4 linked regions of the Alligator mississippiensis genome follow. The protein of the gene in region 1 purifies or fractionates together with the protein of each later gene. This does not show direct contact. Links are inferred from orthologs where the notes say so. Each region holds a gene or a part of one and is shown in the gene's direction. Other genes may lie near its edges. The genes, in order: ZMYND8, MTA2, MTA3 and MTA1.

Region 1 (7,021 bases):
TCCACCCTGCTTGAGTCTCTGAAAGACAGTTAATGCAAAAGGTGGATGGTGCTTCTTGCTCACTGCTCTTTTGTGATTTAGTCTGATTATAAGATGATACATTATATGAGTAAGCATGCTTATGTTTTTTCAGAGACTTGAGCAGGTTGGAATAGTATCACACTCAGATGCCAAAGTCTGCTTAAACATATAGTAAATGAAATAAGATCTGGGCCTTAGTTTTTAGAATCCCAAATGTAGGAAGGAGGTAGGGCTCTCATTTCGAGAGAGAAAATGTGAAATCAGCCTGCAGATCCTAAATGCAGTGGTTCTCAACCTTTTAGGACTCAAGATACCCGTTGATATAGTCCAGTTACCTCTCACTAGACTCAAGGCATCCCATAGAGAATGTTAGCTCTTAAGTTTTCACTTTTTTTTTTTTTTTTCCGTATAGAAAAATAATAGAGCAACTCATCTCTTGCAAAGAACTTGGATCATACCAGGTCAGAATGCTTTTAACACTATGGATTCCTATTTAAAATCTCTGGGTTTATCTTGTGAATCCTGTTTGTGCACCAAATAGAGCTAACATTGCATGGCACCCCTGAAAGGATCTCAAGGCACTCCAGGGTGAGAATCACTGCCTTAATGTAACTTTCTCCTGATCCTTTTGCTTTCTGCATTTTCCTTTAGGAATGTGACTTTATCGTGTGTGCGTGCGTGTGTGCGTGCGTGCGTGTGGCACACTCAGTGTCACAGGCTGGACCATATATGCAAACCGAACGCTCCTCCCCTATACATACATCTCTTCCCTACGGGCTCCCATTTTCATTCCCATCATGCTTCCTAATATATGTGGGGGGATCCTTTTTTTCCCCTGTCTATATGAGACCTCTGCTTGTAATGGACAGAAGATGCATTATGGGAGTCAGTCCAGGGGTGGAAGGGTAGGGGTGCACACTGAAACTGGAGGAAATGGTGCCTCCTGCTTGTATTTGCTAGTAGGTGCAGTTTCTGGTTCTTTCCTGGGTATAGTTCCTCCTGCCCAAGACAGTTGGTGGTTGCAACATCTGTAGAATTAATTCCTTCTTTGATATTTTTGTCTTCCCCTTCCTTCCCCTATGTTTTCCCTGTTTCTCTCTTTCAGTATTACCCCCTCTCTTCCTTTTCTAATTTTTTTTCCCTCTTCAACTACTTAGTGTTTTTAACAACTTGAATCTTTAAAGCATTGAACTGGGTGAATGCTAATCCGTCTCTTTGTCCTCTCCCATACCTTAATGAAGCTGTCTGGCTTCCTCTTCTCTTTCTTTTCCTTCCCCTCCCCCTTCCCCCCAAAATTTACTCCTCCTATGTAAAAGAGATTAAGTTGAAATAGGAGGTTTATTTAATTGTCTTGCATATAATTTATAGGTATAGTATGCTCATTGTAACTAGGGTTCCTGTCAGGCTTTAAACTGGGTGCCCACCTCCAGCAAGAAAGAAAGCAGACAAGACATTTAAAGCATTCCCTTGCTTGATCCGCTTTTAAATAACTAAAAAGACTTTTTACCCTACCAGGTTTGCATTCTAAACAGGATATGCTGTTTGAAAGAGCAGCTTTTTTTTGGTTTTGTTCTTATTTTGCTGGGTGGTTGACCAGAGGCATTTGGATTACTCTTTCTAACTTAGGCCACTATTTCTTTGACTCATCATGGTAGAACTTGGGGCCTCTTCTAAGGCTGCTGCTGTTGCTGCTAGGTTATGCAGCAGACCATAATTATTAGCTGATGCACTGATTCCTTCCCTAAAGACCAAGTGTGTCAGTTTGGCAATCTGCCCAGCCACCATCAGCACCATTGCATTCACAGAATGAGGTTGCTGAGGAAAAAAATTGACGAATAATGCATGTTCACTTTCATTCTGTGTGTAATCTGAGTAATGCTAGAGCTGAGCTATCTATTAATGAAAATAGACTTTAGTAGTTGGTGACGCCCTTTCTCTTGCAGTTAGTGCATGGACGAATCAAAATCTAGATAGTTAAACATTGAGGGAAATTATCTTTTATTTTGCAGGGTTTTAGGCACAGACCTGACTTGAAGGGTTTGAACTATTAAAAGGAAAATGCTGCAAGTGCTCACTTGAATGTCATGGATTTCCAACATGTTCTTGCTGCTGTAGTGGGCTGTGCATTTCCCTTTATAGCAGCATACTGTTTCTGCTTCATTCCTAAAACAGAACAAAACTGCCAGTGTAATCTGTGAGCCTTCCTGCTCTCTGCCCTGAAAAACATTGCCAGGGCTAAAAAGGGAAAATGCTTCCAGCAGAGACTCTAGAATCGCTTATGAAATGAGTATTACACTTGGGGCCATTAATCCGCTGGTACAGCCTAAAATACAAACAGAAAAATGTACATTGTTTTGTGACATGGTGGTTTGGGAGTTTTCCTAAGAGACTGATTGTTATCTCTGAAATAACATGAATTCAACATGGGACACTACAGCCTAGGATGTTTATTATATATTGAATTGTATACATGTGAGTCAGGAAAATTCAAAATGGACAGACCTGTCTGTGTGTCTGTGAAGGTAATACCTATTTAAATCTTAAATTTCTCCCTTTTCCCACTACCCTGCACCTTTCTTTGCATAAACAATTATTTTTACATTTTAAAATTAGTTGCTTTTTACCTGTAATGGCCAAGTAATTTGTAGGTGCAGATAGACTTTGAACGCCTAGTTACCTGATGTCAGTGTAAATATTGGAGCACAAATGTAAAGTCTTTGTATAAATTCGGCCCTTTAAAATCTCCCTCTGGAATTGTGCCTTTCCTCTTCCTAGAATAGTGATAAATCCACTAACCCTCACTGTATTCAGAAGAGAACTGAATCACAGGGTGTTTGGGAAGAGGAATGAAAGCTCATTTTCTTTGAATAAGGTGGTTAAGAATTGGCCCCAAATCAGACTGGTTGTTCAGATGCATTGTGCTCTAACTCCAAAATCACATACCATCTTCTCAAATTGCTTCATTCTCCAGAGCCTTAATCTATGGTAACAACTGAGGCAAAATGCTGCAGAATTGAGAGAGCTGTGCTGATGCTCATATCTCCATCTGAAAGCAGACTCTAGTATTATTCCAGACATGGAAATCCATTCCCTTTTAGGGCCTACATTTAAAAAAGTACCAAGTCTGACAGGGTTAATAGACAGGAAGCTGCAGCTGCAGCCACTAATACGGAAGTCAGATTTTTGTTTAACTGACAGCTTTAGCAGGCCTGAGGATGGGGGAGGGGGAATTTGAGAATACAGCATCTGTGGTGCAATACTGATGATTTTTGCTATTCACTGCAGCTTTTAATTTCTTTTCTTTCTTTTTTTTTTTTAGTTAAGGAAACCAGCTTCCTACTCTGTAATCCAAAATATGTTTTTGTTGAAATCAAACATGCCATGGTTTTCACCTAGATTCTGGTATCACAATGTCTAATGAAATTATGCTCTGGGTATGTGACTTTTAGTGCTAATTTTAGGGGGTTTTAAAATCTGTAAGAAAATCATTAATTCTGGTCTTTCAGTTTTTCTTTAATTTTGTTCCTGCCTGTCTGTTCTGTGTCAAGATGCTTTCCTCCCTTTCTAAAGCACAGCTTTTTCTGAATGGGGTTTATTTCAGAATACCAGCAAAGTGATTTTAGCTTTTCTCCTAGACCTGGATGATGAACCCTCTTTGTTGCTGATTTAAAATCTCTGAGTTCAGTCAGTAATGACAGTTTGAGATGCATTTTATTTGTGCAAGCAGTTAGTGATCACTTTCCCCTGCTTGAAAATCTGGGTGTTTTTTATCAAGAGTTCCTGTTTGGGGTCTCTTTTTAAGTTTCTTCTGCTGAAGCAGGCCTAGCTTAGCCTGTCTTCTCTATGCACAGGATGGCTCCTGCTTGCCAGAGCTGCACAAAGATAATCGCTCAGGAAGTGTTTCAGCCAATCCCCTGAAGCTTTACATTCAGATTTACCAAAGTAGCCAATCCAGGATTAGCTTTTATTAGGAAGACAGATCATCAAGCTGAAGTGCCAAGCCCTTTCTGTCTGAGTACTGAGAGCCTGTCCTCCATGTTTTATAAGTATTGACATAACACTGTGTTAACAATGCATCCACAGAGGTAAGCTTTACTTTTTACATTTTTTTTCTCTAAGACCTATGAGCTGTGGGCTGAGAGTGTGATTCTCTGTGATCTGTCGTGCAAAACTCACACCACAGCACTTTATTAAGTTGAAACTGTTTAAATTTGCTTTCTTGGGTCACATGGTTAGTAGCCATTAGCCATAGCTTTATTTTGCAAACTGGCAAAACCTTGGCATACCTACTACTTCACAGGAGGATGGTGTTTTTAGAGTTTATCAAGATCCTGGTATTCCAAAGCAGCTTTCTCTCTCTGAGCAGTTTGCCAGCACTATTGTCTGTTGTGTCACATGCCTGCTGAAGAGAAAATGGAAGCTAGGGAGCAGATGCATTTAACTGCCCTACAGGGAGTCAAGCAGGGATAATGGCAGACAGCAGAACAGGCAAGTTTACCTTTCTAAACAGTGAATGGAACAGCTAAGATAAGTTATCTCTGAGAAAATATGGGATTTTTAAAAACCTAGACATCAGCAAAAAGTGCTAATGGCAGATTGTAGTTATTGGGCCTAGGTGGTGTTGTGCTGTTGCATCATGTTTTTTGTGCAGCTTATCTTAACTTGAAATGGATTTTGAACTTTTTTCTTATAGGAGTAGTTAATATATTATGTTTCTTTTAATGAAGGGCAATATATGGTTAATATTTTGTGCCTTTAAAAATGAGTTTCTTACACTGCAGGTTTTACAAATAGGTTTCTGGTCAATAAAATGCAGGATATCATCTGTTTATGTTTCTAATTGTTTAAAGAAAAATATGCTTTTGAATTGTTAGCTTCTTTCTCTGGCATGGTTCAAATAAACTAATGCACCTTTTATCTGTTTCTATTTTATTTTACACTCTACCAGCCACAGTTCTATGTTGTGGAGTCCAGGGGATATAAAATCATGTGTGGTTCATGGCAGTAGTACATGTTGTTCGTTTTTCTCCCTTTTTTTTTTCTTTTGGTTTAATGCTACGTAATTATTTCAAATATTTCCCTTTTGATCAATTTCCAAATCTGCCAGCCTGTTGTATCTTCTTAACTGGAAAAATGAGATGGTTGCTTGAACAGTTGGTAAGTAAGCAGTGTGCTCGTCTCTGAACATTTTTAATAGTTTACAAAATATTTTGCTTTTAACAGGGTGCAGTTAGCCCAGCAGGTGAAGTATAGTCCGTGGCTAGTAGCATTAAAAATCAGGAGTTTTGTTTAGCATCTATTTGCAATGACTTGTTCATGTAAATTCTGTTCCAGCTTGAATGCACTGTTTTTCTGATAATCTGCTGCTAAACTTGAAGGTTATACTTCCTGTTTACCTCTGGCCAGTGAAAAAATTTCTACTTACTTTTTGTTCCTAGATTCTTAATTAGCATGTGTGGAGGTTAGAGTGCAGTCAGGCTGTTTCTCAGGCTTATGAGGTGTAATGAAAGTGCTAGTGCTCAGCAATGTGGTGTCCTTATACAGTTAACTGGATGTTGGTTACTAAATCTGTTTTAATACCATATGAAATATAATCTAAGATGCATTTGTTTGATTTATTAGTAATTTTGACCGTTTTGCACTTTATTGCAAATTTTAATCATAGCATTTGAGTGCATATTTTAACAAACTGCAAGGAGATAGATTCTTTAGTGTTTTAAGCCTAACTGCATTTATTTGGAATAATTCAACCCATAATGCTTATATAATTTTAAGAATGAACCCAAATCTAATCTGGTTTTAGATATTACTGTACTTTGTCAGGATTTTATGCTAACTTTTTTATAAAGGTTTCCATGACTTTGATAACATAGTGTAACATGCCATTTAACTCTGGTTGCTTCTTTGCCAAGATTAATATCTTAGTGTGAAACAGAAGTATTAACTGAAAAGTCAGATTACAAACTAAACCAAAACTGAAATGAACTGCTGTTTCAGCATACAAAAAAATGATAGTGCAGCTAAGCAATAAGTTTGTGCTGTTTTAATTTATCTCTGATTAGTAAAATCAGAAATTGCATTTGGACATAATTTTCCTAGCAGCAATTTATACACATTAGCAGTTTGGTTTGGAGTCTGAAACATTGCACAATATTATATTTGTTTAATATGAGGAAGCAGGAGTAAGTGATCTGCAATCAAAAAGCTTGTATTAAAATGGCTCCCATAGGTTTTGTTAAACTAGGATCTGTTTCAAATCTGCACCTCCAGACACGTTGCTGACAATGAAGCATATTTGTATAAGCTGCCCTGGCGTATGTAATGAAACATAGTATCGTGAGTCTGTTAAAGTTCTCTATTTTTAATCACTCAAATATAATTCTTTTATAGTTCACAAAAAATAAATGTCTGCATTGCAGCAAGATGTCTGAGTCAAGGTAGAGACAGCAGTGTTGTTTTACAGATCAGCCCAATCACGCTGCTCCATGGAGTACTTGAGCCAATAGAAACAGAGGGTAGGTTAAAGATTGACAATTGCAGTGGCAAGACTGAGAAAGGCCTTCTGGAAATTTCTACCATCTTTGTTCCATCTAAGTAAAGCAAATTCAGCCAAGCTGAAGAATTTCATATATTTTTGGTGCTTTGTCAAGGTATGATGTTATCTCACTCCCTTTTTATAGATTGCATAATAAGAAGCACTCTGTGCTATTTTTCTACTATGCAGGCCAGATGGGATGTGAGGTTTTATTTAAATGACAAACCCAGGGTGTGGGGGGGAAACATATCTCCCCAAGATTTTGCAGGACTGGGTCTTGTTAATATCACAATTAGATGGAGCATGCATGAAGCAATGTAGCTGAAGTATATTCAGCTTGCAGAAAATGGCCATTATCCTGACATACACAGGAATTAATGATATAATTGCTTTTTGTTCTTTAGTAGCCAGAAGAATTAATTTCAATTGTCCAGGATGAATATGATTAGCTGTTGTTATTTAGTG
Region 2 (7,654 bases), on another chromosome or scaffold:
GGCCGGACACCTGGGTTCTCTGGGTGGTGAGACTGGGGGGTGAGAGCTGGTAGGACTGGGTGCCTGAGTTGTCTCCAGCCTGGGGAAGGGAGTAGGAGTGCGGGTTGAGAGCAGGGAGCCCGGATGCCGGGGTCCTCGGGGGCAGTGGGGGATGAGAGCAGCGGGGGCTGGGAGCCCAGATGCTGGGCTCTCCCCAGCTCTGGGGGCTGGGCAGGGTGGTTCCAGCTGCCCCCTGACACCCCCCTCCCACTCCCCCAGCTGTCTGAGCGGTTTGGGGCCGTGCGCACCATCGCAGAAGGTGCCGGGGGGGAGCTGCTGGTGGGGACGACACGCAACGCAGTGCTGCGGGGGGGGCTGGCCCAGGGCTTCGTCCCCATTGTCCAGGTAATGGGGGGTATAGCTACACTGGGGGGGGCCTTGGGGGGCTGGAGGTTCCCAGCCTGCCCCGTTCATGTGCCCAGCAGCATCTGGATGTGCTGTAGGGAGGCTGAGTGGGCTGTGTGGGGGCTATGGGGCCAGAAGGGAGCTGTGGGAGTCCTGGGGGGGGGGGGTTAGAGCTGGCAGAGGCTGGGGGTCCGAGCCCACCTTGCTGCCTCAGGGTGCTCGGACGAGCTGCAGGGGGGTTGGGGGGTCACAGCTGCTCCCCTCCCCAGGGGCACACGGATGAGCTGGGGGGGGGGAGGGGTCACAGCCTGCTCTGCTCCCCCAGGGGCACACAGATGAACTGTGGGGCCTGGCCACACACCCGCGGCTCTGCGTCTTCCTCACCTGCGGCCACGACCGACAGCTCTGCCTATGGGACGGCGCTGCCCACAGCCTGGCCTGGAGCCTGCTCCTCGAGGTGGGGGGGGGGGCCTTTGGGGGCTGTGGCGTCAAGGAGAGTCTTGGGGGACTCTGCAGCCCTGTGGGGGTGTTTGGGGGGTGGTCTGTGGCCTCAGGGGGGACATTTGGGAGGGCACTTGGGGGTGCTGGACCTGCAGCCTGGGGGGCTGCTGGGCCCGGCTGACGCTTCCCATCCCCCAGGACACAGGGCTGTGCGCTGACTTCCACCCCAGCGGGCAGGTGGCGGCCGTGGGACTCAACACTGGACGGTAACTGCCCCCCCTGGGGCGGGGGGTGGGGGGGCAGCTGGTGCCCCCCCTCCCTCAGGCCCTTTTTTTCCCAGGGGCCCTGACCCCCCATCCCCTACAGGTGGCTGGTGCTGGACACGGAGACGCAGCAGGTTGTAGCCAGCGGCTCGGACGGCAACGAGCAGCTCTCGGTCATGCGCTACTCACCAGGTCGCACCCCCCCCCCCCCCACGGAGTCACCCCCCACCCTCTCCATGGTTCCTCCTATCTCCCCTACAGGGATTTATAGGGTCACAGCTCCTCCATAGGGTCACACCTGCCCCCGTGGGCCCCCTCCTCCCCTCCAAAGCCCCAACCCCCCTTTCTGCACCCCCAGGGTCCTAGCCCCCCCCATGGGCTCACTGCCCCCCCCTTGCAGACGGGGAGTTCCTGGCCATCGGGTCCCACGACAACTTCATCTACATCTATAGCGTGGGTGACGGTGCTCGCAAGTACAGCCGCCTTGGCCGCTGCACGGTGAGCCCTGAGGGCCGGTGGGCAAGGGGGCAGGGGCAAAGAAGGGGGGGAGATCTCTGGATGCTAGGTGGGGCAGAATCAAGGTGAGAGGGTCTGTCGGTGCTGGGGGGCGGTCTCTGGGTATTGGGGTCTGGGAGGCGGGTCTTGGTGCTCGGAGGGGCAGGGGCAGGTAGGGGGATCTCAAAATGGGGCTGGGGACTGGGGTGGGCTTTGGCTGGGTGTGGGAGTCTTGGGGTGCTGGGTACAGGAGCAGGGTGGGGGGTTCTGGGTTTGTGGGGGGGTCTAGAGTGTTGGGGGGGCTGGGGAGGGGTACTGGCTAGGGTACGGGTCCAGCCATTGGTCAGACTGTCAGCATTTGGCCCTGGGACGGGGTCCTGGGATGGGGCTATAGGCCTCTGGCATAATGGCGGGGTCTGTCTGTCTCATGCCCCTGCTATACCCCCCTCCCCCCCTGCCAGGGTCACTCAAGCTTTATCACCCACCTGGACTGGTCCAAGGACGGGAAGTTCATCATGTCCAACTCAGGCGACTATGAGATCCTCTACTGTGAGCTGCGGGGGGCTCCAATGGGCTGCGCTGGGGGGCTCAACTGGGTGTGGCAGGATTGGAGGGAAGGGGGTTGCATGGGGTTGGGTGTCTCTGGGGGTTTCCAGGTTGGCTGGGGGGGGGTTCAGGGAGGTCTCCATGGGGGCTGGGAGGGTGGGTAGCTGCAGGGTGGGGGGCTCTCCATGGGATGGAGGCTGTGGGTGGGGTTGCATGAGGTAGAGCGGGGTTGCATGGTGTGAGGGCGGGTTGGAGGGGTCTCCATGCGGCCTGGAGGATGGGGTAGCTGCAGGGTGGGTTGCATGGGTCTGGGGTCCCCATGGGGTGAGGGGGCTGGAAGTGGGTTGCATGGGGCTGAGGAGCTTCCAAGGGGGCTGGGGCTGGAGGGAGTCAGGCTGTGCATCCCCCCCACACCCCTTCCATGCCCCCCCAGGGGACGTGGCTGGGAGCTGCAAGCTGCTGCGTAACCGGTTCGAGAGCCGGGACCGGGAGTGGGCAACGTACACCTGCGTGCTCGGATTCCACGTCTTCGGTGAGCTGGGGACATGGGGAGGGGGACCCTGGGGGTGTCCCCTGGGGGTGCCGGGGAGAACCAGGGGGGGCAGGGGGCACAGAGGAATGCCCACACGTGCTCATGTGTGTGCAGGCGTGTGGCCGGATGGCTCGGACGGCACAGACATCAACTCCCTGTGCCGGTCGCACAGCGAGCGCGTGGTGGCCGTGGCCGATGACTTCTGCAAGGTGCATCTCTTCCAGTACCCCTGCTCCCGTGCCAAGGTCAGATGCCCCCCCCGCCCCCTCCCTGGGGGTTGGGGTGGGGGTGCCAGGCCCTTCTGCCCTGGACCTGAGGCAATTCTGGATCGGAGAATTTCTGGGGCAGAGGGCCCTGGCTGTCTTGGCGTGTCTCTGCCCAGGGCATCTTGCCTGGAGAGGGGGCAGGTATCAGGGTGGGGGGCACACTCCGCCTTGTAGGCCAGGTAGTGGGTAGTGTGTCTTGAGGGGGGTCTCTGCTGGGGGTGGGGGGACCGGGGGGGGTTCCACAATATGGCTGGCCGAACTCGAGGGGTTTCCTGAGGTTTTAGGGGGGGGTCTTATATTCAGAGCTGGGGTTGCTGCAGAGAGTGTGGGGGTCCTGAGGTTTTGGAGGGGTCTCTTATTGGGGTGGGGGGTTTCAGTGCAGCTGGGGAGCTCTAGGAGGTCTCATATGGGGTGGGTGGCTCAGCAGGGCCTGGAGGAGGCTCTGGGACCTTAGGGGGGCACTGGGGTTCTATGGGGGGGTCTCAGCCCCCCAACTCCTGCACCCCACAACTCCTCCCTCCCACAGGCCCCCAGCCACATGTATGGTGGCCACGGCAGCCACGTGACCAACGTGCGCTTCACCCACGACGACGGGCACCTGGTCTCGCTGGGGGGCAAGGACACCAGCATCTTCCAGTGGCGGGTGCTGAGCGGGGGGGGCGCCGTGCCCCCCCGCAGCCGCTCCTTCTCCTCCACCTCCCTCTCCTTCCAGGAGGCTGGGGGGGGGCCCTGAGTGCCCCCCCCACCCCCAGCCAGCCGCGGCACTAACTCACGCTAACGATGTGACCTGCTTCATTAACCATAACTCCCCCAGGGCAGAGCAGGAGGGGGAGGCAGGCAGTGCCAAAGCAGGGAGGGGCCAAGCACCCCCTCCCTCCTCCACGGGACCAAGTCTGGGGGGGGCAGGATGCAGCCCCCCCACCTTCGTTTACATTCCCGGCTGCTCCAAGCCGCTCTCGACACTGTGACAGGCCCAAATAAAGCCTTGGCATCAGGGGCCGGGCTCCCGTCTCCTTCCTGGTGGGGCGGGGAGGCTCGGCTGGGGCAGTGGGGGGGTCTGCCCCACCGCAGAGGTGGCTGCATCTTTGCGTTGGGCTCAGAGGTATCCCTGGATGCAGGGGAGCTGTGCCCCACCCTAGAGGTGGCTGCATGTTTGCACCAGCATCCCCATGTTCCACCTCAGCACTGGCTGCATCTCATCAGCGCCTTGGGGTTGGGGCTAAAGAGTCACTAACTGGGGGTATGGAGGGTGCATGTCTATTTTTTTTGGTTCTATGCTAATATATGCAAATAGAAGCCAGATCTATGCTCATATATGCTAAAGAGGGCGAGGGAGTAAAAGGGAAGAAATGGTGCGACACGGCGAGGAAAAGGTTAATGGGGAGCCGGAAAGACCCGAAGTACCCCCCCTTTCCGGAAGGAGCCGAAAGCGGCGGCGGGCGGAAAGACTCGAGTGCTGCCGGAAAGAGCCGAAACCGAGCCAAGGCTCTTCCGGGGGGGGGCCCGAAGCTAGCAGCGGAAGTGGCCGAGAGTGGAGTTAGGGGCGGAAATACTCGAGCGCCGCCGTAAATACTCGAAGTGCTGGCGGGAATGCCCGAGGTGGTGGCGGAAGCGGCAGGGCGGTGACGGAAACGCCCGAGTGATGCCGGAAGTGCCCGAGCTGGCGGCGGAAACACCCGAGCGGCACCGGAAACGTCCGAAGCGGAGGCGGAAACACCCGAGTGGCGCTGCGTGAGGAGGAGGAGGCGGCGGCGGGAGGCGATGAAGAGCGGCCGGGGCTGCCGGTAGCGAGCTCCGCCGAGCCGAGCCGGGCCAGGCCCGGGGCCATGGCGGCCAACATGTACCGGGTGGGCGGTGAGTGCGCGCGTGGGGCCCGGCACCGAACCGGAACCGGAACCGACCCCCGTCCCCTGGGGGGGAGGGGCAAGTGCCCCCCCTGGGTATTTGGAGGGGGTGGGGGGAGTTGAGCCCGTGGGGGCTGGGGTAGATATCCCCCGTGGGGCATTCGGGGGGGTGAGGGGGGCAGGTCATCTCGGGGGTAGCTTGGGGGCAAGTGGAGGGGCTGGGTTATGTAACCCCCCACTGGGGTATTTGGAGGGAGTGGGGGCAGTTTGAGGGCCTGGGGGGTAACTTTTCAGAGCCCTGGGGTGTTGCTGGGGGGGGGGTAGCGGCCCCCCCCAGGGTATTTGGAGGGGGGTGGGGGTGCAGCTCTGCCCCCGAGGGGTGATTTGGGGGTCCCTGGGGTAGCTCGGCCCCCGAGGGGTATTGGAGGGGGTCGATGAGCTCTGAGGGGGCAGTTTGGGGGGGCTGGGACAGGTCATCCCAGGGGGTGGGGAGCCGTGTGGGGGAGTGGGGGGCAGGCGGCCCCACGGGGAGTTTGGGGATCCCGGGGGGGTGTATCTAGATGGGGGCTGGGGGGCAGGTCAGGGCGGGGGAGGGCAGCAAGAGAGATTCAGCCCCTGGGCGCGGGGGTGGGGATCGCCCCGGGGGCCGCAGTCGGGGGCACTAGGCCTCAGGGGGGCTGATTGCAGGGGTCGGTGCTGGGGCTGGGTTGGGGGTCCCGCCGCTTTTGCCCCCCCTGACAGCCCCCCCTTCCCTCCCCGCCCCCAGACTACGTCTACTTCGAAAACTCCTCTAGCAACCCCTATCTCGTCCGGCGCATCGAGGAGCTCAACAAGGTGAGAGGCCCCGGTGCCGCCCTGGGGACGGACCCCGGCAGGATGGAGTCGCGCCCCCTCCCATGCCCCAGGGGCTGGCGTCCAGGCCCCTTCCCCCCCTTTGAGGCCCTGCTCTGGGGCAGTTCTGCAGAGGGTTGAGGGGGCTCGGCTTGTCTGGGGGTTGCACGGGGGGAGTCTTGTTTGGGCTGGGGTGGGCCTGGCCTGCCTTGGGAGATGAGGGGGTTGTGGGGCAGGTCTGGGGGGGCAGAGGAGGGCTTGACTGAGGGGATGTGGGGGGTTGCAGACCAAGGCTGGGGGGGCTGGGGAGACATGCAGGGGGCAACTGTGCCCAGGGCGCTGTGGCAGCCTTTCACTCTTGCCCCCAGACAGCCAACGGCAATGTGGAGGCCAAGGTCGTCTGCCTCTTCCGGCGCCGTGACATCTCCAGCAGCCTCAACAGCCTGGCCGACAGCAATGCCCGTGAGTGGGGCACCAGGGGGGAGCTGTGACCCCTCCCACTGTGGAGGGAGGGGGGTCTATCCTGGGCCTGGGCTGAGGGTGACGGGGTACAGAGCAGCCCAGGTCCAACCCCAGGGACTGAGCTGCCCTGACTTGTCTCTGAGCAAATTGGGGGCTGGTTTTGTTTCTCCCAGCACTGCCCGTGTAGCAGGGGCCTGGGAGTGGGGCGCAGGGGCTGAGGGCCCGGGGTGAGGGAGCGCTGGCAGAATTTGGGGGTCAAGAGTGAGGGGCGTTGGCAGGGCTAGCGGGGGCTGCAGGTTGGGGGTGAAGGGCACTGGCAGAGAGCTGCGAGTTGGGATGTGAGGGGCACTGGCAGGGATAGGGGTTGAAAGGGACTGTGGGGTTAGGAGTGAGGGACCGGCGGGGCTGAGAGGGGCTGCAGGTCAGGAATGGGAGGCACTGACAGAGCTGGGCTGAGGGGTGGCGGGTTTCCTCCCACTGTACCATGCAGGGCTGCCCTGGCCCGTGACCCGGTGCAGCCTGGAGGCTGCAGACCACGTGGGCTTAATGGCATTGGGGGGGCGAGGGCTCTGCCTGGGGTTTCCTGGGCGCAGGAGCAGGGGTAGATTTTCCACCCCCAAGCCCTTGGGCAGCTGCCAGGAGCTGGAGACAGGCGGGGCTGGACCGCAGCTGCCTCCACGGAGCCGCTTCCTGCCATGGGGGCTGGGGGGAGCGGCTCTTGCTGGGGGCGGGGAGGGGGGCCTGGAAGTGTGGGCAGGGGTCTGAGCCCATCTCCTTGGCATGAAGAGGGAGCTGTGTGGAGCTACCTGACACCCCCCCTTCCCCTGCTCCCCCTGCTTGGCATGTTCCCCCAGGGGAGTTTGAGGAGGAGTCAAAGCAACCAACAATGACAGAGCAGCAGCGGCACCAGCTGAAGCATCGCGAGCTCTTCCTGTCCCGCCAGTTCGAGTCGCTGCCGGCCACTCACATAAGGTGTGTTGGAGGGCACCTCAGCAGCTACCAGGGAGGAAGCTTTGCATGTGGCAGGTGGGGGGGTGGCAGGTGAGGGGGGGGGGGATTCCTTGAGCTGGCCTGGGCAGGGAGGGAACTCCAGCATGTGACACGTGATCTTGCTGGTTGCCCACAGGGGGAAGTGCAGCGTGACACTGCTCAACGAGACTGACATCCTGGGCCAGTACCTGGAGAAGGAGGTGAGGGGGGGTCGTAGCTCTCTGGGGGCAAGGTCCTGGTCTCTGTAGAGCTTGGGGGGGGGAAGAACTGTTTTGGGCTGGGGTTGGGGGTGCATCTCCCTGGAGGTGGGGGAGCTAGTCTCTTTTGGGCTGGCAGCTAGGGGGAGGGCAGTTCCCTGGGCATGGGTCTGGAGGGCTGGGGGCTCTGGGGTGTTCCCAGCCCAAGGTTCATTTCCTCTCCCCCGGTTCCAGGACTGTTTCTTCTACTCGCTGGTGTTCGACCCTGTGCAGAAGACCCTCTTGGCCGACCAGGGCGAGATTCGTGTCGGCTGCAAGTACCAGGCTGAGATCCCCGACCGGCTGGCTGAAGGTATGGGGAGGGGAGGGAAGGGGACCGCGTCCATCCCCCTTGGCTGGAGAA
Region 3 (7,434 bases), on another chromosome or scaffold:
CTGTGTTGCTGCATAATTAACAGCAGCTAAATTGCTCTTGTTTTCCACTAGAACTACTAAATTCAGGAAATGAAACATGGACTGTTCGATAATGTATGAGAAATGTTATACTAATGGTCACAGACTTTTTTTTAGAAGGGATATGAGCATGTGATTGACTGGAATACGTACTGCCAAGAAGGGAAACTCATATGTAGGGACCTAATGAAATCGCAGTTTTATAGATTTTGTGAAATCTGGCATTGGCTAAGAAAGTAGGCAATGCCAGTGAAATCTGAAGAAAGAAGACAGGGAGAGAGAGAGAGAGAGAGAGAGAGAGAGAAAAAGAAAACTCACTCAAAATAAAATCCTGGCTCCCCAGAGGAAGCCAGCAATTTTTGAGGTGCTGCGGCCTGCCACAGGGGGGAAGCAGAAGGGGAAGAGCTGCCCACTTGAAGGGCTGCAGGCAGCATAGCTGATGCCCCTGCCCCTCGCCGTTGATTGATTGTCTGTCATGTTGGCTGCCTGTCATGTGGCCCTACCTCTCTCCATCAATCCATGGTGAGGGGCAGGGCCTTTGCAGCCAATCAATGGTGAGGGGCAGGGTCACTGCCCCCCCTCAGCCAATCAGAGGAGTATGGGACGAGACCATTGCATTCTGCCCTCAAAACAGCGGCTGGACCCTGCATTCTGCCCCCGAACATGATTGCCAGGCCCCATATTCTGCCTGAAAAATCAGCAGATACTGCCTCAAATTCAGTAGGTCCCTTCTCATATGTATGGTTAATGATTTTTCCCCTTATGTTTACTAACTTATTGCATTCTACAGTGTATTTCCTTTTAACTCAGGAATGATGTGAGATGCCATCTTTATATCATCCATAGCATCTGATGAAGTAAGCTGTTGCCTATGAAAGTTTAAGCCTTTCTGAATGAGTTTGTCTCTAAGGTCTTGCTTTCTGCCATCTTTATAACAGGATACACAGACAGCAATCCTGGATGTGAGACAAATGACACATCATCATTGTTACGCAAGAAATTAGTAGAACCTTTTTGTTTTCCAAGGAAAGAGTCCAAATCATAATCTAGCTCTTTAATAATATATGTTTTTCATGTGATGAATTTAAAATAAACAAGGAAAATCACTTATAATTTTGTTATTGGTGCCTTGAGAGCATTTCTGAATCAGTTTTATTTGTAAACAACTCTTTTAAAACATTTATTGATTCTGAGACCAGCTACAAGATTTATCTTTGTTTCATCTAGTAATTTTTCCAGGATATATGGTAAACTTTTTCTATTGGACATTTTTCACTCTCAGACAGGGTTTTTGAAAACAATATAAGAATTTTCATGTGTCACCGTCCAACAAGCCTTGATTACTACTGTCAAATGTATTCAAGGAGATCATCACTTTAACTGAAGGTTTATGCTCGGATGAATTGTGTGTTACTGCTCAAATGAAAAAAAGGTACATCATCATGGTAAAACAAATGAAAAACCAACAATGCCACTGAATAAATGTGTAAGCAACTCCCTTTGGATGAGAATATACAGCTGTCTGTTGAGAATATTAATATTTGAGTACAGCAGTGATTATGCCAGTCAAACCTCTGGATGCTGAATGTAAAATACAACATGGAAATAAAAACCAAGAGGGTCACAAGTTAAAAACAGCACAGGGTGGGATTCATTGCTTTTATGACAAACTGTGATCCAGTGGAACAAAGGACCAGACCAGGAAGCCACAATTAAGTCCTGCCTCTACTAGTACTGTGGAAATTTGAACAAATTGTTCAAACTATCTTCTTCTAAATGTAAAAAGGTATAGTCATTATAGGCACATGATTGTAGCCTTCTGCTACAAGAAAGGTTTTTATGCTGTCTGTTAAGTGGTCTGAAATTGTTAAAAGGTGTGAAATACTATAATTGCTGTAAGATAAATGGCATGGTTAATTAGATCCATTTTGTGACTGAACATTTCAAAGAAAATATCTTACAAAAATAAGAGTGTGTCTTTTTTCATGGAGTAGTAGTACATCATGTATCTATAATGAGGGACAGTTAAAAAGTAGAATGAGGACCTGCTCATAGGAATTTCAATTATTTAAATACTCCAAATATGTATTTCACATACCCTATCAGTAAACACAAGTACACAAACTCTAATATCAATCTGTGGACATGCATAAGAGTACACAGGCACCTGCATGCACCCCTCTTCCATAATAAGCATGCATTTGTATCTTCTCTAAAGTGCCTTTATGTATGGGTGCATACTTCACTGCCCAAAGACACAACTGTGATTATGTTCCTTACTTTCATTATAGGCACCCATTCATTTACTTGTGCTTTATAACAAACCTATGTTTAGATCAGTGATTCTTAAGCAGGGTGCCACAAGATCCACTCACCAATATTGAAATGTTATGCAGTCTTAGTACTGCTAAGTGAGCAAACACCTATAACTGACTCACAAGGTAAACCCGGAGACTTCAAATAGGAATCCAATCAAACCGGAAAACACTCTGTCCTATAATCAATTTTCTGAGCCCTTTACACCAGAATTGCTCTTTTTTCCTGTAGTTAAAAATGAGTGAAAGCTAAGAGCTGGCATTTACTGAGGGGTGCTTTGAATCTAGAAAAGTGAAAAGCCACTCATCTAGATACACAGCTCTTAACATTTCTCCTTCCATGGACATACAACAGACCACTGGTTCTCAACCTTTTTAGACTCAGGGCAGGCACCCTTTGAAAAATGTCAGCTCTTAGCTTCCACTCATTTTTCAATGTTGGGAAAATACTAGAGGCATTCTTCTGTTGTAAAGAACTCTGAAGGACTGCAACAGGTCAGATTATTTTTTACACTGTGGATTCCTATCCGTAGTCTCTGGGTTGATCCTGTGAGTGGGGTGTGCCAAGACTCCTGGAGGGTTCTGGCTGAAAGGTCTTGCCCCTGTGCTCAGGGTTAGACCAAATGCTGTAGTTAGAATCAAGAAGGAATTTTACCCCATGGTATATCAGAAATTGGTATAGACTGTGGAAGTTTTTGCCTTCCTCTGTAGCAGGGGGCCTGGCTCTTTTCCTTGGATCTCTCAGGTGTGTTTAATAATACTTATAGTAGCAGGACATGGGCTGCTGTGGTCCCCCTGCTGTACTTGTGGCAGATGAGGGTGCTGCGCCTTGTGGTTGTGGGGTGGGCAATTATTTTGGGCGGAGGGCCTCTTACTGAGTTTTGGCAAGCAATCAAGGGCTGCATGACAGGGAGCCCAGGGCAGATCAATATTCATTTTCTAAATTTTTTAGGAGCCCCTCAGGCCGGATAGAATGGCGTGGTGGACCACCTTTTGCCCACCCCTGGTGTAGTCAGTCACATGCAGGTGTTTGCTAACAGGTTAGACCAGGGGTGTCAAACTTGTCTGGACTTGCAGGCCAGAGAAGTGCTACAGGATTAGTGTGTGGGCTGGATGACTGGTGTGGGGATGGCCCAGTGGGCTTGACTGGGCCCACAGACTCTGTTTCCAGTCCAGCGGGAAGAGGCCTGCCACCCCAGGCATTTACCTGCTATGACAAGAATGAGCTGCGGACCTAGAAGCACAGGCTCAGGGGTGACTTGGTGGCAGCCTATAAGTATATAAGGGGTATGCATCAGGATTTGGGGGAATGTCTGTTCACCAGAACACCCCAAGGCATGACAAGGTCCAGTGGTCACAAACTCCAGCAAGACCATTTTAGGCCGTGCATAAGGAAAAACTTCCTTACTGGCTGAGCCTCCAAGGTCTGGAATAGACTCCTTACCAAAGTGGTGCAAGCACCTACTCTGGACACCTACTCTGGACACCTTCAACAAACATTTGATCTTATGAGGTCCCTTCCAGCCCTAATGTCTACAAAAATCTATGAAAGTCTGTGCCCTGGCTATCTCCCCATATGTCTGTGGGGGCTCCAGTGCCGTAGCTCTCATGAGGGTGCTTGGCTAAGGTGGTGGGACAATGTCCCTAGCAAGGCTGGAGGCTGGTCTTTTGGCCTGCAGGCCGTGTGTGACACCCTGGGGTTAGACAAAGGACTGGAGCTAGACGTCTCAGTGGTGGCAGGTGATGGAACAAGGGGCAATGGTCTCAAGTTGCAGGATGGGAAGTTTAGATACATTATTAGGGGGAAAAAATAAACTTTCAAGAGGAGGGTGGTAAAGCACTGGAGCAGGTTACCCACTCTCCATCCTTAGGAGGTGTTTAAGACCGGCTAGACAAAGCCAGGATGCTGTAGTTGGGCTGGTCATGCTTTGAGCAGGGGGGTGGATCAGACGCCCCCCTGACATCCCTTCCAACCCACATTTCCTATGATGTGTATGGGGCCAGCTTGGCTAAGGCCCGTCCTGCACCGGGCGAGGGGGAGGATGCCCCGATGCCCCCCGGCGGCCCGCCCACTCCAGCCCGACTCGTGCGCGGCGCCCCGGCCCGGCGTGCAGGTGTCTCTCCGCCCTGCGCGGGCCCCCGCAGGGCCAGCCCCCGGGCCAAGATTAACCCCTTGCGCGCTGCAATCAGCGCGCGGGCGGGAGGAGGAGGGGGGAGGTGGTGGGAGCCGCGGGAGCCGCTCCCTCCTCGCCTAGCCCGGCCCGGCGGCGGCGGCGGGAGGAGGAGGCGCAGCGCGCAGACATGGCGGCCAACATGTACCGAGTGGGAGGTAGGTGGGAGCCGGGCCCGGCCCCCCGGGGCGCTGCGGGCAAGGGGCAGCGCGTAGGGGGGGAGGGGTGTGTGGGGTCGGGCCCGGCCCCGGGCAGCGGGGCAGGACGGGGAGCAGGGCCCGGCCCGGCCCGGCGCTGCCACGGGGAGAGGGCACGGGCGGCCTGCCCGCAGGGCCGGGGGCACACGCAGCGCCCCCGCCCCCCCTCGGCGGGGCGAGCACGTGCTCCCCGCAGCCTCTGGGTGTCCCTGTGTGCACACGTGTGTGCCTGTGTGCGTGTATGTACCTGTAGTGTGTGCACCTCTGTGTGACTGCTCGGGCGTGTGTGTACCTGTAGTGTGCGTGCACACGTGTGCACATCTGTGTGCGCCTACGTGTACCTGTAGTGTGTGCGCACGTGTGTGCTTGTGCGCCTACGTGCGTACCTGAAGTGTGCGTGCTAGTGTGCCTGTGCGCGTGCTCGTGCACATAAATGCCCATACCTGTAGTGTGCACATATACATGTGGCTCTGTTTGTGTTTGTACACGTGTGTCTGTGTATGTGCACACATGTTCCTGTGTGTGCGCGTGCATATGTGCATGTGCCTGTGTGTGCTCACGTGTGCCTGGGTGTGTGCTTATGCACCTGTGCCTGCCTGTGTGGGTGTGTACATGTGTGCCTGTGTGTGTACCCATGCTTGTGTGTGTGTTGCGGGGGGAGGCAGCCATCCCTGGGCAGGAGGTTGTTGAGGGCCGGAGGTCCTGTGCCTGGCCTCTGCTCAGGTCTGATGGGCCCACAACCTGCATCTGTCTGGGACTTCCTGCAGTGTCTGTCATTCCCCCTTGCTGCTTCTTGAAGGTGCAGTTCCTACCCCTGCTTCCCTTTCCATCCCCACCCCACCGCACCACAGTTTGATGATAAGCTGCCTGCGGTCTGCGGGGGAATAGAGCAATTTTTTTTTTCATCCCCCTTCTCTCCCTTGTGTGTCGGTTCACCCGCTGCATGGGCACAAAGGAAGTGAGGCCAGTCAGAGAGTCCAAGAGTCTGTGGAAGAAGACAAACACTTCCTGTGTACACCGCAATACTGCTTTGCTGTGATTCCTGGCATAAAGAATGTGAAAGGGAAAAGTCCAGCTGAATTTTGCCTCTGTACACCCCCTGACATTTACTACACAATAGTATACCTGTCCTATCACTGCCCAAAGTAGTATCCGGTGCAGGGGACATGGAGAACAGGAACTTAATAAGATACATGTTTTCCTGTTTGAGCAAATCATGTGCTAAGGAAGCCTGAATTAAAGATGGCAAACTGATGAACTGGGTCCCCCTTGTCCCCCTTCCACCTGATGCAGTTATAGCAACAAGTCCACTCTGTTCCTCTTCCTCTGTTAGGTCATTTAGTCCTGTAAATCTTTACTCAGTCTTTACTAGAGTAGTGCTTCTGAAGATCAGGTAATGGTTTACAACAAGGATGTCAAAGATGTGGCCTGCAGGCTGGATCTGGCCTACAGAGCCATCATCTGTACAGTGGAGCTCTTGGAGGGGTAGAATGAGCAGGCGCAGACCCACAATTTAATTTTGAGGTATGGAGACTGGGTTTTTGGTTGTAGCCGTGTTGGTCTAAGGACATAGGCAGGCAAGGTTCTTTGGGTAGATGTGATATCTTTTATTAGACCAACTGAGTAGTTGGGAAAAAGTTCTTTGCAAGCTTTTGGGTGCAATCACCCTTCTTCAGGCATAGGGAGTCTCTGCTGTTCTGAGATCTCTAAGGAATCAAAAGCTAAAAGTGTGGCAGGATGTCAGTGAGAATGTAAATAGGTACAACTTTTTGTTTTCCTAATTTTTGCCTGTTTACATTCTCACTGACATCTTGCCACACTTCTAGCTTCTCTCATTTCTTGGAGTCTCAGAACAGCAGAGACTCTCTATGCCTGAAGAAGGGTGATTGTGCCCAAAAGCTTGCAAAGAACTTTTTTCCAACTACTCAGTTGGTCTAATAAAAGGTATTGCATCTACCCAAAGAACCTTGCCTGCTGAGGTATGGAGATGTGTTTCTGCTGCAGGCTGAGCCATGACTGCATTAATCTCTGTGGCTCCCTGAGCTGACGCAGCCCTGCTGCTACCACTGACCAAGGTGTGTGTGGAGTTGGCCAGCAAGGCTCCTTGGGATCTGAATCTGGCCAGGGGGTGTTGCAAATGAGTTTGACATCCTTGATGTACACAATGTAGTTCCTGCTGCTCAGACTGGATTCTCATCCTGTGGGTCTTCAACTCGTAATAGAGGTGAAAACCATCCTCTCATTAGGGTGAAACGAGATGGGATCCTGAAACTTTCTTTTCTTAGGTGGGATCATGATATGAAAAAAGTTGAGAACCACTAGTTGAGAGCTTGCTAAACTTTCTACTTTTGTGTTCCAGATGAAAAACAATGATAGCATGCATATTTTTTGTGGTTTAATCTTAAGATGTTTCTCAACAACCATCTGGGAGGTAGGGTGGGTTATAGTGAAGCTAGTTAATTGGAGATTACCCTTGAAGACTGTAATCAGTAATTGGAGATTACTGGATTATATTCACTTCTACCATATATAGAGAAAACTCAGACATTGTTGCAAAACGAAAATAAGACAAACTTTCAAATTACATTTGAATTTAGTGAAGCATTTCTTAGAGAATCTCCAAAAAAGGTAGGTTTTGAGAAAACAGATTGAGGGAAAGATGTTGCGCACAGATGTTTTGATTATTTTAGGGGGTTGGACTCGATGATCTGTGAGGTCCCTTCCGACCCTAGC
Region 4 (6,894 bases), on another chromosome or scaffold:
CGCCCCAAGGGATGACGAGGTCAAATGGTTATAAACTACTGCAAGACCATTTCTGGCTGGACATAAGGAAGAATTTCTTTACTGTCCAAGCCCCCAAGGTCTGGAATAGCCTGCCATGGGAGGTGGTTCAAGCACCTACACTGAATGCCTTCAAGAGAAATTTGGATGCTTAAGTTGCTGGGATCCTATGACCGCAGCTGACTTCCTGTCCCTTGGGTTAGGGGGCTGGACTCGATGATCTTCTGAGGTCCCTTCCAGCCCTAATGTCTATGAAAACAGCAGTGGAAGAGAGAGAAATTCTCATTTGGTGAAAGACCAGAGAGGGGGAGATTAAGGGAAGAATAGTGGCATCTTTATCCCATTGCTGACTGGGGTCACTTCTGTTCCTGGTACAACTTCTAGCAGTCCCAGAATTCCTGTAAATTATACCCTGCTGCCTTTAGTTTATGAAATTGTCTTCACTGCTGAGGGTTGCTAGAATGACTTTGAACTTGTGAATCTGGGATGGAGGTTGGCATTAGAGTCTCTACCCCAGCTTCAAGCCACTTGAAGACTCCCAATTAACACGGTTTTGCCCTCAAAACACTGCAAAATAGATGCATCAGTTGGGAGAATTACTGGCTTCCTCTCCAAATAATCTTGTGCAACAGTAGTCTCCTTATTGCATGTAGCTGAAGATTTCTGTTAAGTGCTGTTCTACCCTAGTAATGGCAAGCAGGCAGTGTCATCAGTTGGCACAGTGAATTTCACTGTTTCCTGTTCAGTGTCACAAATATCTCAGAAATCTTCTGCATGGAAATTAGATTCATTGGGGCCTGAAGCAAAGGAGTTTGTGGATGACATTGTAGTTGAACGGAATCTATTAAGCTCAACTTAAAGCTAAAGTAAATTTAGAGGGCAACTGAAGATAATTGACTAAAGCTAAACTGATAAAGATGTATGTTCCAGCAAACTAGTTATATTGATTGATAAAGAAAGGGTTAGGGCAGTGACAAAAGAAATCAAAGCCACAGCTGAAAGGCCATCGCTGTGAAAATAGAAATGGTATTATGTCTCAGTAATTGCTAGATTTTGGAACCCTTGAAAGGCACGTTTGTAGTTATTTGCATAAAACAATGAAGGCAAACCTGAGATAAGGTAAAGGAATGTGTTTTTGAGGGTCTGATGCATCTACTTACTGTATCCCCAATAGTGCTATTTGATGATGCTTCCAGGTTTGTAGCTATTTCAGTAGAAACCAGCAGCTATGATCTTGGTAAGTTTGTGCTTTAGTTGCACAGATTAATGGAAGATGAGTGGCTGGAACGCTATTCAGAAAACTATTGGTTGAGATTTTCAAAGACAATGGAGGATTTAGCCCTTTTGCATTTGTAGAGGTAAACATTTTAAAAAGCTTTGGAAATCTTGACTATTGCATATGAAGACTCCAAGAGAAGCCATGCTGAAACAGAGAGAATTTCTGATTAACAAACGCACAAGTAATTTGTAGGATATTTGAAAACATTTAATAATTTCATGTTGGTGATGGAGCACAAACCACTTGTACCCTCACAAACAGACAAAACGCATCTTAAATGCCAGAGATTGCTCATGGGTTTAACTTTCAAGTGTATTGCTATAATACATACTGAAGCAGTTGCCAATCTTTTAGAGAGCCTGTAAAAGTGGTTACGCTTTCTCGAAGAGCCCTATTTTATGATCTGACCTCTCCAGAGGCCATATATGTAAAAGAGTTTCTGCTCACTCTTGCCAGAAAAAAAAAAAAGAACCGATTAAAATAGCTGTTTGGTCTGTCTCTGCAAGCCGGTTCCAAAGTTTTCAAACAAGATTGGCTTGATTATGTATCAGGGGTTTACCATGCAGTCTGTGACATCTATTTAATGAGAGTTTAACTCTGTAAAGAGAAAAGTTTGATTACCTATAGTATTTGTACTGTGATCCCACAGTCCCTGCAGAGTGACCTGTTGTAAAGACTGCATAAGGAGTAGCAGGACCTCAAAAATACTAGTGTTAGCCTGGATGTTAGTGTGCTGACCCAATACACCACAGGGCCTAAAATGAAGGTAAAAACATGCAAATCTTGAGTGATCTGAAAGAAAGGCAATTCGAATAACTTCCTTTGATGAGAAGGAGGAAATGAGGCAGGTCTGGTCAATAACCATTAACTTTTTCTAGCTTTATAAAAATGCTACTTCTCATTAAACCTGTAAGCCAAAAGGGCTTAGGGAAAGTTAGAAGACTTTTTTTTTCCAGTTTGACCTCTGAAAAATGGTTGCTGACAATGGATTATATTTGCCAGCCCTGAATTTCAACTTATGGTGATTATAGAACAATTTCAATATTAATTCTAGCCTTCCCCCAGGGAATGTAATACCAGAGAAAGCTGTATATTATATTACTAAGAAAAGTCTACAAAAAAAAAATAAAAAATTCAACGCTAGCTCTGAGCTCCACAGCCATGTCTGCTTCAGTCACAAGAGTTACCTCAGGTCAGTTGAAAAACAAGGCTCTAACCTCAGAAGTACATTTTAGGCTTGAGTAATCCTAGTTTAAAGGATACAAAAGCTCTAGGGTGCTGACTCCAAAGACATCTTTTGGCTTTCTTCTTTAACTGTCAGAATGCTGCCTAAAGCTTACTTGAAGATAAACCTGGACACTCGGCCCTATTAAAATTGGATGGGAAGTACTGGACAACACCAGCTGCTGTCACCGAACGTAATGGTACAGAGTTTCTGTGTCGTCCACACTGGTTAAGGAACTCAGCACAGAAGGAGCAGCAACTACCACCAGCCAGCTCCACGTGCAGCAGACTTGACGGGTGCTCCTTTTAGCAGCGGTAGTGTTAGAGTGATGTTGTAGCTGTGATGGTCAAGGAATTATGCAAGAGGCGAGGATTTCTTAGGATGACATCTCTTATTGGACTTAACTGTATAGTTGGGATACAGCTAGACAAGCCTAGAGACCTATTGGAGGTCTTGCATTTGAATCCTGGTCTAACTCTACCCCAGCTATGCAGCATGTTCAATAAAAGATGTCGCCCCGAGGAATCCTTGCCTCTCGCCTAATGGCGATGGCACTTGAACCACAACCCTAGTGAACTGTGATTCCCGCTCCTCCTGGAGCGAATTGATTGGCCAAAACCCTCAAGGCTGGGATAAGGCCTAACAGGGGAATGAGGGAGGCACCTTTAATTTTTCTAATGTTTAGTGTTGTTTTTACTGAAAGAAAGGTGTGACCTTAAACCCAGAAGCTAGGAAGCTGGGGGCCTGCGTGTTGTTGAGGTGCAGTAGCCATCCTGCCCTGGCTGCGTGCGGCAGGAAACGGTCCCTGTCGCTGTCCATCTCAAGCTCGGTTTTAACTGCGCTTTCCTGTGGCCGCGACCACCGCCAGAAGGGCTTAAGCAACCGGGGCCTGGCTTGGTGTAACCACGGCCTCAGACAAGCGGCTTTAAGGCTCCTGCGCCTGGATCCTTTGTTTCGCTACGGGCAGTTTCTTGTTCAGCAGTAGGAAGTCGCTTGGTGCGGGGCTTTAACGTGGGATGGGGTCAGGCCAGAGATGGCGCAGGCGGTGCTCTGTGTGGGACCAGCCCGGTGCCCATGCCCCAGCCACCCAGCGGGTTCAAACGGGGTTCCCCAGGGCGGTGGGTGGCACCTGCGCGGTCCAGGCCAGGAGCCCGCCTGCCTCCCCGGGGGCCTGGCAGACCCGGGGCGGGGAGGGCCCCCCACCCGCCGGGGCCGAGGCCCAGCAGAGCCCGCTCTCGGCGCTGAACAGAGCATAGCAGAGCAGGGCCGGGCCGGGCCGGGCCGCCGCGCTCCCGGGGCGGGGCGGGGCGGGGCGGGGCGGGTCAGGTGGGGCGGGGCGAGGCAGGGCGGCCTAGGCCTCGCGACGCCGCCACCATCACCTCCACCCCGCCCGAGTGCCAGCCCTCTCTCGGCCCGGCCCTCCCTTCGCTTCGCCTCGCCTCGCCTCGCCTCGCCTTCCCTGCCGGCCGGGGGAGGCGGCGGCCGGCGCGGCCCCTTTAATTCCCTCGTTCCCCTCCCCCTCCCGGCCGCTCCAGCCTCCATTTTCCAGCGGCTCCGGCACCTGGAGGCAGCGGCGGTGGGAGCGGGCCGGGCCCCCGCGCTCCCCGCCCGGGCATGGCCGCCAACATGTACCGGGTCGGAGGTAAGAGTCCCCGCGGAGGGGCCCCGGCCCCCTACCTGCCTCTCTCTCTCCCGCCTGCCGGCTGGCCGGCCGCTCCTCCCCGTGTGCGGCGGCGTCACGGGCCGGGCCGGGGGTGCGTGAGGCTGGAGCATGTCCCGGGGCTGGGGGGCGAAGAGAGAGGGCCGGGGCAGCGCTGGCTGGAGGGGCGCGGGTGTGTGCTGCCTGCCGCCCCCGCCCTGCGCATCCTGGCCGGCGCTGGCCCGGGGCGAGCACGGGCCCCGCGGTGAGGCCGAGCTTTCGGGGCGGCCTCGGCCCTCCGCCCGCTCCCTCGGGGGAGCTGGTCGCGGAGCCCGTCTCAGGCTGGCGGCGGGCGGGGGGAATCGGAGACCCCTGCACTGCTTCGGCCCCAGGGCGCGGGGGTCCCGAGTGCGCTGTGGCGCTCGCTCTCTTGGGGTGGGGAGATGGACTAGAGTAGATTTAACAAAGAAAACCTGACAGGTGGGAGAGCGGCAGGAAGTTGCAGCAGCCCCAGCCCCGACGGGGGCTTGCTGTTGTCCTCCCGGTCCTGCTCATGGATATGGCTCTCCCTGTGCAACTTGTTGCACCTCCCTGTTGCCTGGCCCTCCGTGAAATGCCAGGACATGGATACCTTCCTCCTGGCTGCGTTTTGGCTTGATGATGAGACCGTACTACAATTTGGTTGCCATGACTTTGCCCCTTGGGCCACTGGGAAGATGGTGGCGAGGGTTGAGCGCCGCTGCCATGGATTGGAGACGCTTGAGACCTGGACGGTGAAGAACAAGAAGTTTTGCTGGCTTTCGGCTCGTTTCTTGTCGCAGTTTGTAAACGGGGTTTCTGAGGGCCTGGCTGTTCTGTTAGTGAGTACCAGTCTCTCTAGTTGTATTGGCTTAGAGCGATAGTTAGCCCTGTTAGTCTGAAGGCAGGGCAGGGTGGCACCTTAGTAACTGAATGAGTTAGTCTCTAAGGTGTTGCTTTGCTTTGCTTGGAAGACAGAGAGCTGCTCTGTAGGCCATGCTGTTCAAGGCAAAGACTATTTATCGTGATTACCACTCTGTTAACTTACATGTGGATGAAACCTTCACTTGTCATGTTGCCAAGACCTACAGGGATGATGGAACTATTTCTAGATGACTACTCTGTTGAGTGTGACTAGAAGTAGGAGGCTGTGTTGGTTGCCCCTGAGTTTGGAAACAAGTACCTTTCTGCTTCAAACTTTGTTGTAACTCGCACAGGAGATGGGTGCACACAAGATGTGATTAGGTCATGAGCAGCTGTGAATAGACCATCTTGATTCTGATGATATATTGACTACAGGTTTCCTTCGCCAACCATGGTTTTGAGTCTCCACGCTTAAAATTCTGTATACTGTGGTAGCCAAAACGGTATACAGTTCTAAGTAACCCCAGTTTTCCACGGCTGCGTATCGGCCCGCCCCCTGCCATTTTTCATATATGCCTTTTGTCTTGCCTACCACAGGAACTTTCAGGAATCTAACCTGAATGGCTAGTGGTTGGCAAGGGAAGCCTGTAGTTGTTTTGGTCACCCAGTCATATTGTCCTCCTGAGATACTTTGGTGCTTGTATGGATGATGACCCATGTATGAATCAACCAGTACCTGCCCTAGTGATCGTAGGCCTATACTAGGCTGTTTTTTTGACTCAGTAAATGTAGATGGTAATAACTCTTAAAACCAAGTTTGGAAGTTAGTTTGACAGCAGTTGTGCTGAACATTATTTTATTGTGGTATGGTCATACGCTTGTGCAAACTGTTGCCAGGGATTTGTTCGTGGTCTGGGCCATAGCTTTGTTCCTGTTGACCTGTGAAATCTGTTTATCTGTCCTCCAGAACTAACAGTTGAGTCTTATCTTTCTCACGGCATTTTTTCCCTGTTTGGCTGGTAGACAACTCTTGTAGGGACTTACAGGACCTACAGTGCCTTTCAGGAAACTCTGTTTTGCGCTCTAATATGGATGCTATATTTCCTAAATGTATATTGTATGTATACATGTACAACGCTTGCAGATCACCTTGGTTTATAGATGAATGGCAACTTGAAAAGGAGGTCAGAGCATCAGTTGCAGAAATCAAGTGCCGAATTTGACTGCTCGTTCTAAACTTTTCAGATCATGTCTCTTAGCTATAACAGAGATGCTTTTCTTCACCAAACATTCACAGGAGTATGAATATGGGCTGCTTTTGGAAACAATCAAATGTGTATTTTCCATCTTTGTTTTAGGCAGGTTTGAGTGGCTTTGCACTGAATTGGCTGCCTGTGTGATCACCGGTATCTGTTTGGATTTTGCATCTCTAGGAATGTTGTGTTGGGCAAAACTGACCTCTGAATATATTGGGGAGCTTTGGTTTGGGACTTGCTGCTTGGACTTCTGCCCCTTCTGGCTACTAATGTGCTCTGATGTAAATTCACTGTTGTGGGATTGGGATTTTACCTATTCAGGAGGATATTGTCAGGGCCTCCAAGAGAACAAATAGATACTCTTATCAGTAAACTTCCTTTTCCAGCCTACTTCTGGATGAAAGTTAGTGGGCAGCTTCTCACATGGTCTGGAGTTAAAAGAATTCCCTTATTTTATTATTAAACCTGAATACAGAATAAAGAGCCCTTGTTTTGAGTCTGTAAAAGTGTGTCTACACAGAAATGGAAACTGCAATTGCAGGGCAGGAAGGCAAACCAATGCAAGCTTTAATCTAGCTGCCAAGGTTTAAGCCAG

What was found.
Region 2: the proteins of ZMYND8 (region 1) and MTA2 purify together in Homo sapiens (affinity purification with mass spectrometry; 3 studies listed by BioGRID and IntAct, with this or other methods). This does not show direct contact. The link is inferred for Alligator mississippiensis from reciprocal best matches to the Homo sapiens genes ZMYND8 and MTA2.
Region 3: the proteins of ZMYND8 (region 1) and MTA3 purify together in Homo sapiens (affinity purification with mass spectrometry, with the first as the bait; 3 studies listed by BioGRID). This does not show direct contact. The link is inferred for Alligator mississippiensis from reciprocal best matches to the Homo sapiens genes ZMYND8 and MTA3.
Region 4: the proteins of ZMYND8 (region 1) and MTA1 purify together in Homo sapiens (affinity purification with mass spectrometry; 3 studies listed by BioGRID and IntAct, with this or other methods). This does not show direct contact. The link is inferred for Alligator mississippiensis from reciprocal best matches to the Homo sapiens genes ZMYND8 and MTA1.

Annotation. Positions count from the first base shown.
Region 1 is NC_081832.1:15,384,545-15,391,565, forward strand, and holds the start of ZMYND8 (MYND-type zinc finger-containing chromatin reader ZMYND8), read left to right. Parts: upstream 1-4,004; 5' UTR 4,005-4,092; coding exon 4,093-4,106; intron 4,107-4,407; exon of another isoform or gene 4,408-4,509; intron 4,510-6,585; exon of another isoform or gene 6,586-6,671; intron 6,672-7,021. UniProt on the Homo sapiens protein: Chromatin reader that recognizes dual histone modifications such as histone H3.1 dimethylated at 'Lys-36' and histone H4 acetylated at 'Lys-16' (H3.1K36me2-H4K16ac) and histone H3 methylated at 'Lys-4' and histone H4 acetylated at 'Lys-14' (H3K4me1-H3K14ac).
Region 2 is NC_081838.1:3,231,582-3,239,235, forward strand, and holds the start of MTA2 (metastasis-associated protein MTA2), read left to right. Parts: upstream 1-4,635; 5' UTR 4,636-4,753; coding exon 4,754-4,781; intron 4,782-5,537; coding exon 5,538-5,605; intron 5,606-5,970; coding exon 5,971-6,064; intron 6,065-6,918; coding exon 6,919-7,036; intron 7,037-7,190; coding exon 7,191-7,254; intron 7,255-7,485; coding exon 7,486-7,603; intron 7,604-7,654. Other genes in the region: EML3 (echinoderm microtubule-associated protein-like 3), read left to right, coding at 259-384, 710-841, 1,024-1,091, 1,192-1,280, 1,489-1,586, 2,045-2,132, 2,563-2,661, 2,776-2,906 and 1 more. UniProt on the Homo sapiens protein: May function as a transcriptional coregulator. Acts as a component of the histone deacetylase NuRD complex which participates in the remodeling of chromatin.
Region 3 is NC_081824.1:194,059,126-194,066,559, forward strand, and holds the start of MTA3 (metastasis-associated protein MTA3), read left to right. Parts: upstream 1-4,424; 5' UTR 4,425-4,634; coding exon 4,635-4,662; intron 4,663-7,434. UniProt on the Homo sapiens protein: Acts as a component of the histone deacetylase NuRD complex which participates in the remodeling of chromatin.
Region 4 is NC_081828.1:43,019,334-43,026,227, reverse strand, and holds the start of MTA1 (metastasis-associated protein MTA1), read left to right. Parts: upstream 1-3,883; 5' UTR 3,884-4,136; coding exon 4,137-4,164; intron 4,165-6,894. UniProt on the Homo sapiens protein: Transcriptional coregulator which can act as both a transcriptional corepressor and coactivator. Acts as a component of the histone deacetylase NuRD complex which participates in the remodeling of chromatin.